2 linked regions of the Daphnia pulex genome follow. Each later gene encodes a partner of the first gene's protein in a complex. Links are inferred from orthologs where the notes say so. Each region holds a gene or a part of one and is shown on either strand. Other genes may lie near its edges.

Region 1 (3,622 bases):
TCACGTGCTGTGAACCTTATGATGCAGTCGGCATACACAAGACCAGTCTCAGCGGCTCTCGTCTTATGGATAGTCACGTTGTGCTGGATCATTCGACGGGTGTGTGTGTAACACATAGCGAACCATCACTCCGCCGATGTGGAGATTACATCAACAGCATTCCAAATGAGAGTTTGGCTGTTGCCATACACACAAATATATAATCACCAGATATTTTAACCTTTCCCTGTTTACGTACTACTCATCCGATCCGATTAGTTTGTCCATTTCTTCCATTTCTTTTTCTTCTTTTCACGGGGCTGTGGGTCCATGCACTCACGGAATTTTTCGCACGGACGACGCCAGGGTTCATCCGTCCGTCCTTATTCGTCGACGGTCACCGTTCCGTTTTTGAAGGGATTCAAAAGCTGCCCGGCGTTACAACATACAGGACGTTCGTCTTGCAGCTCAGGATGTGTGTGGGGGGGATTATAATCACACCGATGTCTAAGTCGGGACGTGACAAAAATCGCGTTTCAACTAGAAACAATTCGACATTTCTTTCAAAACGGCCAGTCTAGATAAGACCTAAAAAGAAGAAGAGCATATCAATCAAGGTCAGACGAGATTAAATTCACGAGGACTAGTTAGTTTTTATTGTTCTCTGTGATGACATGTCGACCAAAAATAAAAATAAAAAATAAGAAGAAAATTACATTTACAGCCAGCAGCAGATATCATCAGTAGAGTCGAGCGAAAATTATTATTATATATATAGAAATGACACTGATTAATTAAAATTAGAATATTATCGTGATATTTTTTTCAACAAAGTCACAGACACACAAACAGCACTCGCATCGAGACCCATCCATCGTCACACCGTAGACGGTCGCACAATTGGAGGGTCGTTAAACAGGATTGTCACGCGGCAATATATTAATAATTCATTGAAAGGGGAATTCAATAAAGAAAATCAATCAAACTGTCCCATTTGTTAATCATAAAAAAAAGGCTAGCTCAAATATTTTAAGTCAACACGACCGCTGGTCTCTAAACAAAGTTCATGGCTCAATTTAGTTATAAAAGTCAATCAACACTCGTCTTTTTAAAAACAAACCCACAGTTTTCCCTTTTGTACAATTGGCTGTTGGACATCTTTAACGAAGATCGTCAAGGGAGATTAATTCATTATTCGGATTAATGTTATCAAAGTCAAAAGGCCTGGCTTTTCAGATATCGTCGGAGATGGGCAATAAAAGTGAGAACATGGACCGTTGAGGTACGACACAGCCAGTCAACACGAATCAAAAAAATAATAACTCAATCCAAAAATAAGCAGCAAAATTGGACGACGAAACGCAATTTTTTCTTGGCAGGCGAAGGCAGATGAAACACGACCAACAAGGCGATTGGGGAGTATTAATTATGAACGATGGAGTTGAATCAATATGGAGACGATCGAAATATAATGGAAACATTAGAGCAGGACGCACACATTTTGGTTTTTTGTTGAAAATAAAAACTCACTCGAAGAAAATTATTACAAAAATGAATTGAAAAGGCGATTCACAGCGGGATGCTGACCGACAAAAATAAATGAATAGCCGCCCAATTTAACTAAAGGGAGGGGGACCTCTCTTATTTAAAAAAAATCTCTCTGTATAAAAAAGGGGTTTTGTTCGTCAATCTGTTGAGCACCAAATCATAAGCTAAAGAGGCCCCCAACACATTTGTGCTTGTATAAATTGCTGATGGTTTCATTCATTTCGTTAGTCATCGTAATAGCATCCATTTTAAACGCAGGGCACCACCACAAATGTAATCTTTTAATTGGTATAAGCTAGCCGATGATCGATGGTGATTAAAAAAAAATTCATTAGATTTCTAAAGTACAATTCAAATTCGACGTAACAAGTATAGAGTAGCGTCAATAATATACATGACGAGCTACTATTTACTGTCGTCTCTCAACAACAATACGCATCGCAACAACAGAAACAAAAGGTCATATCATGTGAACAATGGATAGAGGGGGGGGGAAGAATAGAAATAAAGTCAGAAGAGTTTTTGTTGTCCATTACTTCTTTTTTCAAGGAAGATTAATAACGTGGCCCTATATAAAGCCCAGTCTAAATACATACTGTACACATGTAGAGTCCTATTGTGTGTTGATTCGGCTGGATAACGGCATCTCTGGCAGACTCGAAGTAAGTTCCAAAAGTTGAAACGAGTTTATTTAAAGGGCTTCGTCCCTCTGTAAATGGCCGTTCTCCGACTTGAGCGGCTCCTGCTCGCATTCGTCCTTATCCGGTCGACTCCGTTCGAAGAAGCCCAACTGTAACATTAAAAGAAAAGATAGGGGTAATGTAGAATGATATTTAAAAAATAGAGGGGGAACTATTTTATACGGTCACAACAAGGTTTCTAAGTCTAGTCTTATCAGCCGGTTTGGGAGACTTTAAAATCTTTAAAAGATATGACTGCGTGGCGCAATGGTAGCGCGTCTGACTCCAGATCAGAAGGTTGCGTGTTCGAATCACGTCGTGGTCAAACAACTTTTTTAAAATTATTTTTTAGTTCTCAACAGACTAAGCGTTCTTTTCTTCTACAATGACTACTCAACCCAATTTTAATTTAACTTTAAATAAAGATTTAAAAAAAAATAAAACTAAACAAAAAGAATTTTGAAAAAAAAAGAAAAAAAAAAGTTTAAATTTTACCTTCCAAAGGACAAAGATGAGGAGTAGAAGAAGCAATACTCCGGCCACGGCTGCCAGAACAATGATCCACCAGGGGATAGCTTTAGCTTCTCGTTCCCGATCCAGTTGATCCAGCGTAGTCGTCACCGTAGCAGAGCGTAGAGGAAGGTAGCCAGGATCGACACCGTACGGAAGTTCGTTGATATCCACCACCATCTTTGATGAAATCACCAAATCCTCCCAGTCAATCTGCAATCAATCAATATTCATTCAACTATAAACCGAATTCCAACTTAACAATTTAATCAGAAATTTTTACCTCTGAAATGGTTTGAGCCCAAATTCTGGCGCGCAATTTGAACACGACGTTGTTGTTGGAAGTGATGGGACCAGCCGAGCACTTGATGACGGTGCACTGAGTCGCTCCGCAGTTCAATTCCCTGTCCAGATCCTTCGACTGGCTTTGGCGACGACTGCGAACGCGATTTTTCGTGTTCCTTCCGTGCTGGAAGTTCATCGGTGCCTGGCGTCTTCTCCTCCGTCCCTGGGTCGACTGTTGGTCCAGTTCTTCGTCGTAATCGTAATCCTCTTCTTCGTCAAAGATTTGGCCAGGGATCACTTGTCCAGGAGCTCCGACTCCGCTGTTTTGGCTGGTCACGCTGGACTGGACAGTGCCGTCGGGATTGTAACGGGTTACCGTCGACGTCCGGTTCCAGGAGGAAGAGGAAGTCGAAGTTGTTTTGGGTTTCCCGTCGACAGATGTCGTTGAGGATGACGACGAGGACGAAATGGCATTGGCACCGCCACCACCACCGGAAGAACTGCTGGAGGAATAAGTTGTTTTGCTTGATTTACTGGCGCCACTTCCGCCGGATGATGAGCTGCCGGATGAGCTGCTGGACGAATAGGAAGATGATGATGAACTGCTACCAGACGACGCC
Region 2 (4,332 bases), on another chromosome or scaffold:
ATAATTGCATTACTCTAATTGCAGCTGTAACTGAAGTACACTATCTCGTAATTTCGAAACAGCTACCAAAATAAGAGGTGTTTTGTGTAGAAAAACAAATTTGGTATCACCAGCCAAAATCATATCCATGGAGTCTTCCCCATCTTCCACAAATGAAACAAGTGCCTGCATCACTCCAAATAAGGTAACAAGCTGCTCCTCATTTCCATGTCTGTAATTTAAAAAGGAAAACAATTAATTATAAAAAATGACAAATAGCTAATTCAAACCCAACCTTGTGTAGATGGGTTTTCCTGCTTCACTCAAGACAAAGAAATGTTTCTTTTGATTTTTCCACAGCAAGGAGTCTGATCCACTCTCTTCATCACCAGCAGCAGCTGGCAGGGAATTTTCTTCCAAGATTGATGAAGCCTGATTCATTAATGCTTTTTAACAAATCTTGAGGGGAGATTATTACTCAGTAAATCTCACATTGGTTGTACGTGATATGGAATCCTCATTTTGATTGCTGAAAGACTCTCGTTCTAAGTAGACCCTGGGCCGTACAAATTGTTGGTCTTGGTTATTGGAGACAAGATCTGATTCAAAAATCAAATCAGGTTGAGCTTCAACGGCAATTTCTAATAATCCGACATCACCGTTCTGAAAACCATCAGTACAACCGGGGTCTGCAGGAGGTTGTATGTTTAAGCTCACATCATTGGAATCACTATTTGTTCTGGTACCGCTTAAATTATTTAGACTTTCATATGGATCACTGCTGTCAAGAATTCCATGACTGGAGCTAGTAGCTGCATCAAAATTGTTAACCGAATTCGAAACAATAATTTCGCAATCTACTACTTCTGAAGCCATGTTTACTATCAAAATTATGCTTCTTACATCACCTGGCGGCGTGTTTTGAAGGGGCGTGTACAGAGGGCGGCGTTTAATGTCAGATGTCACAATAAAATGGGTTGAAGTTCCGATAATTGAAAAACGTCACAAATGCAGAGAAAATTAATTTTACAAAGGTAATGGTGTGCTTTTTATATACTGATATCGAAAAGACAACAATTAATTAATCGAGTTCGTTGAATGACCACCAGATGGCTCTACAAGTCAATCAAAACATTATAATACGGACCGGATGCAGTAAATCGTGGATTTAGAAGATGCGGTAAAATGATAAAGAAAAAGAAGGGAAATGTCTAAAACAACGATTTCGAAATTCGTCGGGGCTCAATCCGAATTAAGGTAAATTTTAAAAAATGCGAGAACCAAATGTTAATTTTTTTACAAGGAATTTTATCAATTTTAGCACATAGTATTTTTGCGTTTCTCTTAGCTTTTTTCCCGCATTTTAGTCCCTTTCACTTTTTTCACAAAATTATCTCCTTATTTGGGCTGATCTCTGAACGGGCGCGGTTTGTGTTGGTGTTAGCACCCGATTTCGTCCACAGGTCTCTACAATCTGTTGAAGTTCTTATAGTTATTGAGTTTATTTTATCGTTGTGTTCATTTCAAATGCCGCCTGGGTAAGCTATTGATAAGATAAATACTATTACTGATATTAATAAGCTCTTGAAGTGGCCACACATGAGATAACACATTTAGTTATCAATTGCCGTTCTTCACCCCATAAATTGCTGGACATTTCGGTTGTGTTCACTGAAGAAACTCCATTTTTCACCATGGCAAAAAGACCTAACATTCTTGTTCTTAAACCCTTTGAAAATAGTAACCTTTACCTTAGAAGAATGGAGGATAAGATGAAACCAAGTGCAAGTGCAAGTGAAGTAAATGAACTTGAGGGTTTGCTTGAAGACCTTACATCTAATGATGTTCCGAAGGGAATTCAAAATCAACCACTTCCTCAGATACCTAGCTTGAATTCAGTTCAAACTTACATTTTAAAAAATACTTATGCTAACAGCCCTCCTAAACTTCCTTCTAGAAACCTTAAACCTAGTAATATTGATAGGTATTGTGGTTTAACAGTTAGTATAGTAGATTTCACACATTCTGAATTTCAAGAAACTAATAATGGTTTGAACTTTAAAGCGATATGTACAAGAACACCCAATGTGTGAGGTGTGATTATGGTTTTGAGCCTCATGAAAAGATTGTCAATACAAATGGAGAGCTGTGGCATCCCCAGTGCTTTGTGTAAGTACTCACACCAACATTTTTACTTGAAATTGAATTCTAATTTCTTAATCTTTCACAGGTGCGCTCAATGCTTTCGCTCCTTTCCAGAAGGAATTTTTTACGAGTTTGAGGGTCGCAAGTATTGTGAGCATGATTTTCAGATGCTCTTTGCTCCTTGTTGCGGTCGCTGTGGTAAGCGTTAAATCGATTGACTAATTCATAGATTTTTAAATAATAACGCATTTTTTGTATTCTTAGGTGAATTTATCATCGGTCGTGTTATTAAAGCAATGAATGCCAATTGGCATCCCAAGTGCTTCCTCTGCGAGATGTGTGACAAAGAACTAGCCGACCAGGGGTTCATTCGTCACCAGAATAAGGCACTCTGCCACGATTGTAACGCTCGAGCAAAAGCCGCCAGCTTGGGAAAACATGTCTGCCATAAGTGCCAGTAAGTGCTGTGTATAGTTGAAAATTTCATCGGAATCTAAGGATCATTATTTTTATTTAGCTCTATGATTGATGATCGTCCGCTACGTTTCCGTGGCGAAGTCTATCATCCTTATCATTTCAACTGTTCGTCTTGCGGAATCGAACTCAACGCGGACGCACGTGAAGTTAAAAGCAGACCAGGTTTCACCGCTAATGAGATGGTATTTCACATTATTTTTTAACATTTAATATCTTTGTGACAATTGTTTAAAATTTACACAGAACGAGTTGTATTGCTTGAGATGCCACGACAAAATGGGTATTCCAATTTGTGGTGCTTGCCGTCGTCCAATTGAAGAGCGTGTCGTTACGGCGTTAGGAAAGCATTTTCATGTTGAGGTATAAAACTTAATGAAATCATCACAGGGATTAAATTTACCTATTACAATGGATTGATTTGTAGCATTTCGTATGCGCCAAATGCGAGAAACCGTTCTTGGGTAATCGCCATTATGAGAAGAAGGGTCTTGCCTATTGCGAAACCCATTATCATCAGCTTTTCGGCAATCTTTGCTTCGTTTGCAATCAAGTTATTGGAGGAGATGGTAAAGCATTTTATACATGTTCTTCTTTTAAGACATTAACACCTTGATTGGCTTTTCTTTTCAGTGTTTACCGCATTGAACAAAGCCTGGTGTGTTCACCATTTCGCTTGTTCGGTTTGTGACACAAAAATGTCGCAGAAAACCAAGTTCTACGAATTCGACTTGAAACCGACTTGTAAAAAATGTTTCGATAAATTTCCGGCTGAACTTCGGAAGCGTTTGAAGAAAGCTTACGAGACTAGCCCGAGGAAAAGCTCTGCAGCGAATTAGTATGGGAAAAATAAGTAACGAATCAACATAATTGGATTCGTTTTTTTTTCCGGCTCTTGTTTACCTTTTAATATTCTTACTCCTAGTAAATTACTAAATTGATAAATATGCTGAATTTTAAAATTCTTTTTCCTTCACAAGGTGCCTTGCTTTTACTGTATCAAAGATAAGACCACAAACTTTTTAATTACAAGTTAAGCGATTAATGACTTTACGTCTGCCGATTAGAGTAAGTACAAGAATTATTCATATTTAAATTCTACAGGATTTTCGTGTTTTTTTACTTCACTTCTCGCTTATTTCTGTAAGCTACAGTCACACTTTTAAAATGTTTCCCTCATTGAAATCACTTTCAAGTTCACAAAAAACAACAAAATATCTTAACAACTGCTGACGTGTCTTCCGAATAATGATTTTTAAACATGTAATAAACTAATAATCTCACAGTAGCGTTTACAATTTTATCAATGCGTTCACAGGTCATGAATGGGAAAAATCTGTTGTTCAAGATGCTAAGACAGACATTTACCTAAATGATAAGATCCACAATCATGATAGGTCACAAAAGAGAAGGCGCTCAAAATAGTCATGTAATAACTAAATTTCGATATTGATTAAATTTTAAGTTAATGCCGCTGCCGACGCAACGGAGATAAAGTTAAATTGAAAATGACATGAAAACTCATAAGAAGATATTACTTTTGAAATATGCACTGATGATATGAGATCAGTTAACCCGGCTCTTTATAATTTATTAATTCAAGTTTGTCTTGTTAGAAAATAGAGAAATAATCAAATTCGTTGTCGAGAATTGATCTTTGGAGAATTTGGACAAAAATGTAAAAATCTCCATTCTGTTGTAGGGTGAGCTAATAGCTAATAGCCTTTGGCGATT

What was found. The genes of interacting proteins can lie anywhere in the genome.
Region 2: integrin alpha-PS2-like (region 1) and LIM and senescent cell antigen-like-containing domain protein 1 share a complex: the UniProt entries of both Caenorhabditis elegans proteins name them as parts of the integrin containing attachment complex. The link is inferred for Daphnia pulex from reciprocal best matches to the Caenorhabditis elegans genes pat-2 and unc-97.

Annotation. Positions count from the first base shown.
Region 1 is NC_060022.1:1,631,099-1,634,720, reverse strand, and holds the end of integrin alpha-PS2-like, read right to left. Parts: coding exon 3,001-3,622; intron 2,931-3,000; coding exon 2,703-2,930; intron 2,533-2,702; exon of another isoform or gene 2,461-2,532; intron 2,318-2,460; coding exon 2,219-2,317; 3' UTR 613-2,218; downstream 1-612. UniProt on the Caenorhabditis elegans protein: Required for muscle development probably through the regulation of the actin-myosin cytoskeleton. Component of an integrin containing attachment complex, which is required for muscle maintenance.
Region 2 is NC_060026.1:14,674,754-14,679,085, reverse strand, and holds LIM and senescent cell antigen-like-containing domain protein 1, read left to right. Parts: upstream 1-1,532; 5' UTR 1,533-1,673; coding exon 1,674-1,963; intron 1,964-2,043; coding exon 2,044-2,148; intron 2,149-2,209; coding exon 2,210-2,322; intron 2,323-2,388; coding exon 2,389-2,581; intron 2,582-2,641; coding exon 2,642-2,783; intron 2,784-2,844; coding exon 2,845-2,961; intron 2,962-3,025; coding exon 3,026-3,167; intron 3,168-3,231; coding exon 3,232-3,437; 3' UTR 3,438-3,883; downstream 3,884-4,332. Other genes in the region: protein SAND-like, read right to left, coding at 14-211, 275-411, 472-855. UniProt on the Caenorhabditis elegans protein: Component of an integrin containing attachment complex, which is required for muscle development and maintenance. Probably function in adherens junction.